2 linked regions of the Drosophila melanogaster genome follow. The protein of the gene in region 1 interacts with the protein of each later gene in a pairwise test. Each region holds a gene or a part of one and is shown on either strand. Other genes may lie near its edges.

What was found.
Region 2: the proteins of CG17994 (region 1) and Rilpl interact in a two-hybrid assay, tested with the Drosophila melanogaster proteins (one large-scale study listed by BioGRID).

Annotation. Positions count from the first base shown.
Region 1 is NT_033778.4:6,206,419-6,211,143, reverse strand, and holds CG17994 (uncharacterized protein), read left to right. Parts: upstream 1-1,675; 5' UTR 1,676-1,835; coding exon 1,836-2,336; intron 2,337-2,824; coding exon 2,825-3,838; 3' UTR 3,839-3,925; downstream 3,926-4,725. Other genes in the region: Ttc7 (tetratricopeptide repeat domain 7), read left to right, coding at 289-416, 484-597, 661-857, 918-1,050.
Region 2 is NC_004354.4:1,391,295-1,397,891, reverse strand, and holds Rilpl (Rab interacting lysosomal protein like), read right to left. Parts: upstream 4,839-6,597; 5' UTR 4,349-4,838; coding exon 3,734-4,348; intron 3,669-3,733; coding exon 3,178-3,668; intron 2,810-3,177; coding exon of another isoform or gene 2,795-2,809; coding exon 2,699-2,794; intron 2,647-2,698; coding exon 2,521-2,646; coding exon of another isoform or gene 2,517-2,520; exon of another isoform or gene 2,340-2,516; coding exon 2,207-2,339; 3' UTR 555-2,206; downstream 1-554. Other genes in the region: CG32813 (uncharacterized protein), read right to left, coding at 6,327-6,597. UniProt on the Drosophila melanogaster protein: May have a role in lysosome distribution by interacting with Arl8.

The sequences.
Region 1 (4,725 bases):
TGCAATAATCTTCGAATTATGTCTTCGAAAGTCACAAAAATACCATTGAGCGGTATTTGCGACAACCGAAATAAGTCTAAAACATATTATTAATTAAGTAGTAGTGTATTTTTTCGGCTCGTTACCTGTTCGGCGAGATAACATACATTTCTGGCCTTCTTCTAAAACATATTTGCATGATCTGAAAATGTTTGCCTATCCTTATCTTTGTTTCGGTTTCACCCTTTTTTCTTGTCGTTATGTATAAGCTTTTGTCGAAAGAACTAATATATAATTCGCTTTTTAAAGATTCTGTGTACGCGGCTTCATTGGCTGCAGTCTCCCGCGTTGAACAGGCTCTGAGTGAAGCAGCAAGCTCATTGAGCTCATTTACGCAGCGTCCTGGACCCCGACGACCCTGGATGCTACAGATTGAAGTGCGTTCTTAGTTTCGTTTAGTATCCACGATAATGTATTTAATGCTGCTAAATGGATTTGTTTTAGATATGGCTTCTGCTGGCTGATGTCTATCTGCGGATTGATCAGCCGAACGAGGCACTCAACTGCATACACGAAGCCTCACAGATTTATCCGCTTTCGCATCAGATTATGTTTATGGTAAGTCCTTCAATCTTGATTTATTTTTTTCTAACTCCAACTAATATAATTACCGTTTTTAAGCGTGGCCAGGTGCATGTCTATTTGGAGCAATGGTTTGACGCCAAGCAATGTTTCCTGAACGCCGTGGCCGCCAACCCAAATCACACAGAGGCTTTGCGTGCGCTTGGAGAGGCGCATTTGGTACTGGGCGAGCCGAGGTTGGCTGAAAAAATGCTAAAAGATGCGGCCAAACTGGATCCGAGCTGTCCAAAAATTTGGTAAGCTTAAAGACGTATGCTCAGTACTTAAAACCAAACTCATATTGACAAATTTACCAGGTTCGCACTGGGAAAGGTGATGGAGATCCTGGGCGATTTCCATGCCTCAGCCGATTGCTTCGCCACGTCGCTGCAGTTAGAGCCATCATGTCCGGTGCTACCTTTTACTTCTATACCTTTGGTGTTTGAATAGGAACACTTTCGTGTCTAATTCGAAGCTTGACAAACCTCAAAGTCAACAGCAATACTAGAATTATACTTCCTAATTCCTTCAGTGTAAAAATTGTTGTATCGCAGTTTTGGAGCAACAAATGTTTAAATATTGTTTGTGTGTAAATTATTACCAAGAATTGTTCGAGCTTGGCTGTATTATGTGAATGAACCATTCTGCTATCTTCCTTAATCACCCACTTTTAAGGAGATGGTTCGGTTAAATTTATTACTCTATTAGGTGTTGTTAATTACATACAAAATTGGTTATTATATAAATATACAGTATTTCGTGAAATTATTTCATCATATCATTGTGTATCAGTAAATGTCAGTATTCGATTTTTTAAGTTCCTTGCATTTTCTACTTGGAAAATGATTCTAATTGTTTTGAAAGCTTGTTTCTCTTTTACCCTGTGGCCTTTTACTTTCCTTACAAGCTAATTTACGCCGTAATATCCGCATTCTCTGCTAAAGGCCAAATTTAGACCTTAAAATTACCAAGGAGCTTACTTGCAGTTGGGCCCCATTTCCTTTAGTTTCGGTGCGCTTGTGTCGTTGCCCTGGGCAACTACTATAGCGTACGGGCAATCAATAAAAATATAAACAAGCCAGTCGAAAGTGTCGCTGCGGAACAGGCACAGGAATTTGGGTTTATTACGCCACTCTTAAAAAATCGCGGGCGATTCATTTTGTGTGCCACTTTAGACTTTGGCCCTGTTAGATCAGCAACTTGAATTTTGATGGCCGATTAGTTGCACAAGCATTATGACGCCCAAACGAAAGCGTCGCGTACGCAGCGAGTCGCGGGCCAAAAGCAAAGACCAGGGAAGGTCCAAGGCAGAGCACTTGCATCTGCTTGAGCAACTGGAGTTGACCGACAGCTGCTGCGACATCTGCCACTGCGACTGTTACAGTTCCCACAGCAGCGGTTCTGCGAGTGGACGCGGCAATCAGCGGCAGGCGAGCGTCAAGGAGTTGTTGCAACTGGAAAACGACATTCAGACCCTGGAGAAATTGCAGCGACGGGAAAGTACAAGCTGCCACCGAAGTGCTTCCAGGTCGCCAACAGAGCGAAAGTTTCCCCACAGCAGGCGGGGATCCTTCGACGGTGAGAAAAGAAGTGCAAGCTCAGGCAGGACTCGGCGGTCGAAGAGCGCAGGAAGTCGCAGTTGCGAGTCCCGGGAGAAGCAGCCTGCACAGAAAGCGCAACAAATTCCTCAGGATCGTCGAAAGCGCCGGGCTCAAAAGGATTGCAAAATGCTTCAAGTAAGCTCAGATGCCAGGAAAAAGGTTATTCGAATGGACAATGAGCAATTTTAGAGTCTATCCGTCCGTCTGTCTAAATGAACGCTGTGATCTCAGAGCTATAAAAACTGCAAGTTTGGTTTGAACGTTGCCACGCAGAAGACGCCCAAAACTGTCACCCTAAAGTGATTTACATTTATTAATATTTAATTATTTAACTTGCTTATTTTCATTTTGGCCACAAACGGCCAAAACTGTCGTTTCTCTGGCCGTAAGGAGCACGGCCGATATAGCGTCGCCCAACTTTGCAATTTTGTTTCAAAGAATTAAAAACCCCACTCTAATGCCTACAAACTGCGGCCACTTTTATTATTTTATGTTGTAAGCTTTTAACTGTCAAAAACATTTTGGCTAATGATGTTTTAGCCAATTAAGAAGTCAGTAAGCAACAAATGTAATCGCCGCTACGTGATCGCATTCCTACCTTTAATTCTTTGCCACCTTTACAGAAATTCTTGGCTCCCCTCAACGACGCACACAACCTTTCCATCGTCGGACGGGCCAAGTCCAAGTCGCAAGAAAATTTGGCTGTGGTTTCGTGCCAGCCGCAGATCAAGAAGAGCTCGTTATGCAGCTCGATGGCCAACTTGTGCCTTGCACCAATGGTGCGAGCCGCATATCAGCAGGTCCCCAGCCACGACCAGAAGATCCTGAACTGCATGGCGGAAAAGCGGAGGCAGCAGGCCGCCGATAAGGAGACGGCCTGGTTGGCGCGCAAGTTCTGGGAGAACGAGCGACTTGAGCGGCAGCTTCTTCGCGTGGAGCAGCTGGAAGCTTACAAGCATGCGGTTCACGACAAACAGTTCCAGGACTACCTGGTGACCAAGGCGCGACTGCAGGCTTTGGCCGAGCGCGATCTGGCAGAGCTTAAGCGATTGCGGGGAGCGCTTAACGCCAAGGACGATGCGGTCAAGAAGCGACTGGAGGCCAGGCGGCTGGAGCGAGACCTTAACATCTCACAGCGACGGTGCGAGGAACTGCGTCGTAGCGAGGCGGTCACTGTGCATCAGGAGGAGCAGCACCTGGACGACACGCTGCGTAAGCGCGACATCTGCATGCGGCTAACGCAACGCCTGCGACGGGCGGACGAGTTACGCGGCCAGCTGATGGAGTCGTACCTCAAGCGTATGCAGCTCGACAACTACATGGAGCAGGTGCATCACGAGGAGCACTGGCGGGAGCGACAGCAGGAGGAGCGGCTGCGCAGGGATCAGCTCCGCGAGGATATTGAACGCAAACGCCATCAGTCCCAGCGTTTCGTTGAGTGCCGCCAACGGCGCCAAAATGATCGCTTCCGTACCGCCAAGATCTCTGCCAGTCTGCGGGAGCTGGTGCGCCAGTCGGTCACACCAGAAGGCGCTATTAGTGGCTCGGTGGGCCAGGATAACCCAGCGCTCAACTCATATGTCCAGCAGCAGATAAAGCTGGGTCGCCTGCTCTTCGAACAATCTGCCAGGGAATAACTTGTTTGGATGATGCATTTTTGATGGTTATGTACATATATACAAATTGTTGCTGGTTTTATGTTATTAAAGTCATTTAATACTTGTAGTTCTATTTTTGTATATTTATCTATATATATTATATTTACGGAATTAGAATTATTCGCTTTTTTTTGTAACACGCTAAGTCAAGTACTGCATAAGGTCCCGCGTATGATTGGAATCCGATGCATAGATTTGGATCTTATCGCCAAATGAACAGTGATAACAAAGCCGTACAATCAAAAAGCACCGGGTGAGGAGGTTGATGTCTGAATGGAGACAAAGGTGTACCCCACCCTGAACCAGGAACTGCAGAGCACGTTCATAAGTATACGTATGGGCAGAGTGAGCCTCAGTCAAAGGCCTTGAAGTGGGACAGTGTCCCAAGAGGAAAGACTCCCCTTAGTTTCCCCTCATTTCGCATCGATCACGTTTCGGTAGTGCAAATACTCAAAGTGACTAAGAGCCCCGCGAATTATACAGAAGATGCACATGCATCCCAAACTGAGACAAGGTTATCTGACCCCATTGAGTCTGATTCATCGTCGACCTAGGCCAGCGGTCGTTTCCTGGGTTCAAGCTTTTAGTCTCTATCAAAGTTAATTAGATTAACACTTTAACTGCTTTCTCGGTTTTAGAGCTCAAGTGCATAATTGTTGCGGTGGTTTTGAAATTGAAACAAGTATTGTGCTCATGCACGGTGACATTTTGTTGTGTAGCTAGTGGAGACATGATTTTGTGGACTGTAACGTGAAATTACTCTTGGAAAGTATGCCTTGCCTACGCATTGAGTAGCCCGCCCTAGGAATTTATGGCGTGGGGGAATTTACTAACCATGAAAATGATAAAACGTGGCGATTATATTC
Region 2 (6,597 bases), on another chromosome or scaffold:
TCCAACCACCGCGATGGGTGGTCGGGCGCGGGGGAATCCCATGGGATGCACTGCCAGGTGTTACGCAATCAGCCTTGTTCGACATCCACCCCCTTTTCTTAGTACCAAAAGCACGATCGAAATACAACCCCACCGACTGTCCTTGTGCAAAGGATATCAGTAGCTAGAGGCTACAGGCTCGGGCGACATGGAAGCCAGAACTCCAATGACTAGAGCACCCCGAAATGTGTTTATGGGCAAATTGAAGTCGCTACTAACCTTTAAGGCTTGATATGAAATGTTATGATACGTGAAAATACTTGAACTTGAAGATGGTCTTCAAACATCCTTCGTTTCTGACGATGAAACACACGATGATGACAATGATCTTGAACTCTCTGCCGATCTCGACTTGTTTCTTACAATACCTTGGGAATAATTTTGAAAGCAATCGAAAATAAGCCAAATTAAAAACGAACTTATAAGTAATGTTAAATAATGAAATAAACACCTTAGGTTCCGCACAGCGAGTGCTCCACTTGCCGCCAACCCAAATCATTCATTCGAAATCCACTCCACGGTTCATAAGTTTATTTTGGTGGTCGCTCAAAGGAAGCCACTCATAAATTTGATGTACGTACAGGGGTGAGCAGATGATACCCGGATGCGGAGGCGTCGCCCTCTGATGCGGTTCACCATGATGCGATCCAATCCGATCCGATCCGATGCTCGCTATCGCTCTGGTCGCTCCTGCAGTCCATGGTCCAAGTGCCACCCTGGTACGCTTTGAATTTTGTATAATTGTTGCCTTGTTGCCTTTTTGGTTAGTCATAGTTCCATATAATACGGTATTACATAGTATATAGTAAAGTATATTATGTATAATGCATGTGTATATGTGTATATAAATTTAGTTAACATTAATTCACCAAATACTCAATTTCTCTCCATCTTCTTTTCGTGGTCTTCACCCACTCAACGTTAGTCCACTTTTTCATATCGATGCCATTGCGCGCTCGTGTTCAATTTTATAAAAGTTCAGTTGCCACTCTTTGTTGTGTTCGAAACGAGATGGGTTAATTGAGATTGGTAAGTCGGGTGTTGTGGGCTGGGTGTTCGGTGCGTGGTGTGGGTAGTGGGGGGGAGTTGCGAATAATGGGGGCATAGGGTCTGACCATTAGTCTTTGGCACGTTCGCATCGACGATAGCGATGGAGCTGATATGTAAACGGAGTTTCCTCGCTTTGTGCTTGTGAGTGGAAGGGGAGCGGGAAGTGACACCATATTGGTAATTGCACTACATGGGCGTCTCTCTCATGGATACTAGCTATGAACGAGGATCGGACTGAGATCTCCTCGAAATCACTGGGCTTCAAGTGGAGTGGGGGCTCTGGGCGAAGTCGTCTGGGTGCGGTAACAACAATTCGAGCTGGTCAGTGGCTAAGTCTATGGTAAAACTCTTGGCTAAAACATTCCTTGATTTAGACTGGCCGGCCGGCAATGGGGTAACGCGGAGATTTTCGCTTTTTGGCATCTTTGTGCAATCGAATGCTATCAATGGAATCTACTATGCTGAGATTGGTTTCGTTAGTTAGTTCAATTCAAGTCAACAAACAATGCGCTAAGGTTGTAACGTTTGCTAATTATATATCAATTATATATACTTTTAGGTTTCTTTCGCTCTAAGGTTTGCGTATTTTGATAAATTTGTAATATATTTATAAGGCCGCTTGGGGCAACTGCTATGAGAGTGCTAAAATACTCATACGGGCTGGCGATAGCCGAAGATCTAGATAGATGCAGGGGTCTTAGGGACAGTTACACTACGGATAATTGAAGCAAAATCTTCCCGTTCTACCTAGACTTTCTAAAATCTGGGGTCCCAGAACCAGAGTCCTCCTCGTCTCGTCTCCTCATCTCACCGAATCGTTTTCTCTGCATCTGCACCTGGGAGGACTGTTTGTCTTTCTAAGCTTGTTTTTGTCTAAATTCATTAAAAACTCACTCGGCAATCTTTGCACAATCTCGATATCGTTTTCGTTCTCGTTTTCGTTCTCGATCTTGATTTTTGAAACACGTGCACATGTGGGGGCTGTGGTATGTTTGGAGTCTTATGTGGTAGTCGTTAATCAAGTTAGAATAAATCGAAGGTACGAAAAATACAAAGTGGATTCGTATTAAATATATCCAGTACAGTTAGGGGTTACGAGTTACGAATAAAACGCGTATTACGTAAACAAAATTGCATAACAACTTAGAATTATGAGGGCACAGCAATCGAGTGTGTAAACTATGTATGTACAGCTCAGGCGGAGCAGGTGAATGGCGAGGGACAGGGTCAGATACAGGCTGTTGCCTAAACTAAATGTAAACGTAATCGTAAGACGTAAAAGTAAAAAATAAATAATAAATTAGGATGCAAGATGCAGGGGTGCGGGGGGCAGTGCAAACGGAACGGAACGGAATGGAACGGAAACGGAAAAACAGAAAACAAACGAAAAGTGAAATGCACGCCAACTCGGATGCTTTAAGGGGCGCTTACTTCGCCGCTGCGGAGGCGGAAACGGAACCGGGCGTGGCCGACAGCGCCATCTTGGAGAGCGTGGCCAAGGAACGTTTCGGGAACGTGTTGCTGCCGTCCGACGGGTCCGAGAACAGCTTCCGGAAGCTACAATGCAGAAAGTGAATCGAGAGCTCTACGCCGATTGAATGCCACTTACAATTTGCGTATTCCCGACTCGGAGCTCTTCTTCCAGGGCGCATCGTCCGGCTCGTAGGGCAAAGGGCCCTGCACGGGCGCATCGTGTCCAGGTGGCCTGAAAAGCGATGCACTATGTATGTACTTAAGTAATCATAACTAGGGATAGTAATTAGCTATAAAAACTCAAAAATAATCAACATATAGATCCGAATCCAACGATTTGTTTGACTCCCAATTGTGCCATTTACCAGTTACCTGCTGACCTTGCGAAAAAACACGCAAATATATACGTTTAAGCTCTGAATCACCTGCCAATTAAACGTTTGCATCATAGGGTCTATTTGAATATTGTTAGCACTGAGCAACAACAAAAGAATGACTCAGGCTGAAAATGCTTGTTCGTTAATCACTTTGACTCAAGCGGTCGTTCATAAATTCTTGTTTTCTCTGGTGAGGGACCACAAAACTAAAGGATGTAACAGAAATGGGCTCACTCACGTTTCTCCGGCCGCTGGTGGCTCCAGCTCGTTCGCCTCGGCAGCCGCCTCCTCCTCGTCGTCGTCATCATCGTTGTCCGCCACGTGACCATCGTCGTCCTCATCGCTATCGTCGGAGCTGGAGAAGTGACGCTGCCGCTTGCCCTTCGCCTGGCTTGGTGGCTTCAGCTCCGCCAGCTGCTCGTTGAGGGTGTCGATGGTGGTCAGCAGCTCATCGCGCTCGCTAATCAACTCTTTCAGCTCGCGCGTGGTGTACCGCGGCCGGTTGGGATCGTTCTGGCCATCGTCGTACGAGGCCACCAAATCCTCATTCTCCTTTTCGGCCAGGCCCAATCGCTTGCGCAGTTGGTTGATCTCCCGGCTCTGGTCCTGCAGCTGGGCAAGAAAGTCGGCGCGCTCCTCGCACAGCGTCTTCACTTGGGCCTGCATCAGCTTGTGGCGGCGCCGGGTATCTCGCTCTGATGCCTTCAGACGCTCCGCCTGGATATTGAGCTGGGAAGGGTTAGTTAAGAATACGTTAGCTGGGAATATGAGCACCTATCCTTAAGGACACTCACGTGCTCCAGCTCGCTGTACTTGTCCTGCAGCTCACGCTCGCGGTGCTTCAACTCGTCGCGCTGCTTGTATATCTGCTCCTTCAGCCGTTGCAGCACTTGAGTATCCGAAAGAGCGCTGTGCAGCTCGTGGTTGGTCATGCTGATAATGCTCTCGGTGAGACTGGCCCCCAGGCCGGAGCTCTGGGCGGACGATGACTGCAGATCCTGAGTCTGCTTTACCAGCCGCTTGTTCTCGTCTTGCAGCGAGGAGACGAGATCGACCAGCTCGTTGGTCTCGCTGCGCCACTGCTCTTCGATCAGCTCCAGCTCCTTGTCGAACCGCCGCCGGAACTCGGCCTTCTCCAGCTTCTCGCTCTCCAGCTGGGCCACCTTATCGCGCAGCTCCTGGATGGTGGCGTTCTCGCGCTCGTTCTTCGTGGCCAGCGCCTCCAACAGCTCCAGGGTGTTGATGATCTTGGGCATCAGCCCGCTGACGGCGTCCGTGCCGAAGCGGTCCATGATCCGCTCGTACTCCTTGCCAATGTCGGAGGCCAAGTCGTACACATCGACCACGCCGATGTCGTCGATGGCGTCCAGGACCATTTCACCCATCTCATTGAGGTGAAAGCCGGGCATCCAGGTGGTCGCTCAGATAATCTGTGACTCCTGCCAAGCGCTGTATCACTTGTTTACTTGCTCACACTTGCTCACTGGACTCTGTGTTCACTGAAGACCAGCTTCAGTTGTCGCCTCTTTCCACGGTGTCCTGCTCCTCGGAGTTGCTTCGGGAATCGCTGCACCAGCTGACAGGGATTTTTCTTTCGCTAGCAGGACAAGTGTGCGTGTGCGTGTACGTGCGCCAGGTGTTGGTTTTCCAAGTGCTTTAAGGGAGGGGGGGAATCCGCAATCCGAAGTACGGAATTCGCACTTCGCAATTCACAGTTGGCGCACACAGACTGCACAGTAGTGTGCGTGGGAGTGGCAGTGCTCACTTCATTCACTCTAGTTGTTACTGCCGCCGAGTCGCTTTTCGCTGCCGATTCCCACATAAACAATCCGACTTTCCGCAATTTATTTGCACAATTTTTGCTGAACCGAACTGGAACTGATGAGTAACGAATAACTGGTTCGCGGGCGCCCATATGTGCGAACCAGTTCCCAGATGAGCAGTCGGTTGCGCAGTCTGGTAGCGCTTTGTGCTGGCTGGTCAGTGTTGGGCAACGCCAATTCGTTTGGCGCCAAATGAAGAGCAGCTTAAGCGAGCAAAATGAGCGTAAGTGCCAAAATGTTAAGCCTTAAACGAAATTTTACTATCCAAAAGTCAACAGGCTGGGCCACAAAGTAAATTCATTGTTTTATTAATAAGTTCTTGTTTACAAAATTGTATAAATAGTTTTGTTTTCTTGGTTTTCAGTTTCGTTTGGTGTGTGCTTCCTTGTAAATTGTGGTTACTGGGTCTGGATAGGCAATTAATTGTATTTTACACGTACAGTAGCACTAACACTAACTAAATGGTTTGTGTGCCACATTTACACAGTTATGCAGCGGCGACTAGCAAGTTTCTTCTCTTTACACCATTTCAAATCATTGGTTTGGTTTCACTGGTTCATTAAGTACATAAATTAGCTACAGTTCCTTCAATGCTTTCCTCGGGGGAACAATCTAAGCGATATAAAAAAATAATACACAAGTTCTCGGCTAGGCGTAACAATTTCGATTTCTTTTCTGTAGCTCTTTCGTTCTTCACTTTTGACTTTAGGGACTAGATTAGGAACCACATTTGTACATTTCATTTTCATGCGTTCTTAGCTGCTCGATCTCTAATTAAGTAAGTAAGTAAGGTCTAGTTTTGTAAAGTAAATGTACATTCAAGATAGTCACCTTCTTCTTCTTATTCTTTTTGGTAGCAGCTCGTAGGAAAACTTAAAAATAAACACGTTACATGTATAGAAAAAAAAAGGCAATAAAAAAATAGGCGACGCAAGACATTTTAAAATGAGATGAATCGCTATGTTTCAGTTAGGCTGGCAAATAAATAGTGGGTCGCGAGTGGTTATGACCGGTTATTTCAGCAGGTCCTTTGGCAAGCATTTTCGATGGCAAGGCCCCAATCTTGGTTTCTGTTTTGGCACTCAAACTGGGCGTAAATAAATATATATGGTAAAATTAATGTTACAAAGTGGTTGCGTCAATCCATGGTAGCAAGTATAAAATTAGCAAACTAGACAAAATACTAGCACCCCTCCTGGGGATCCTGATTCTGCTGCAGGGCCAGCTGCCTCAGGAGCTCGGAGGTGACTTCCTGGCGCTTCGAGCGCTTCGCTGGCGGCGGAGAGGAGTGGGGCGGTGTATCTGGCGACGACAGGCCGCCCACCACGCCAACATCCCTGACCAAGGCATCCTGTGAGTCATCTTCGTCTACATCGTCTTCCTCGTCTTCGTCGGGTAGCGTCAGGTCCGTTATGGCCTGGTCACGGTTCTCGCCATCGTCCTCCGACTGCTCGTCCTCCCTAGACCGCCCATCATCTATGTCCACTATCGAGATGATGTCGCTGTCGCTTTCGCTTTCGCCCGCAGGACCCCCGACTAGTTCGAACCGCCCCTTGGCTGCGGACTAGCTGGTGCTGGCCTGCGTCTGCAACACATTGGCGGAAGCGGACGATGAGGCACTAGCGGCGGTCACGGCGACGGGCGAGAGCACACTGGCTCCAGGGAAGTGGCACGGGCACGCAGGATTGGGCATGTGATTCGCCTGACTGTTCAGCTTGCGGGTGAGCGTCTGCCAGTATTCGATTTGGGCGTTGATCAGGTCGATTTTCCGCTTGCTCTCCTCGATCCTCAGCGAATTCATCAGCTCCTGGTGCTGGCTCCTCGTCCCACCGCTG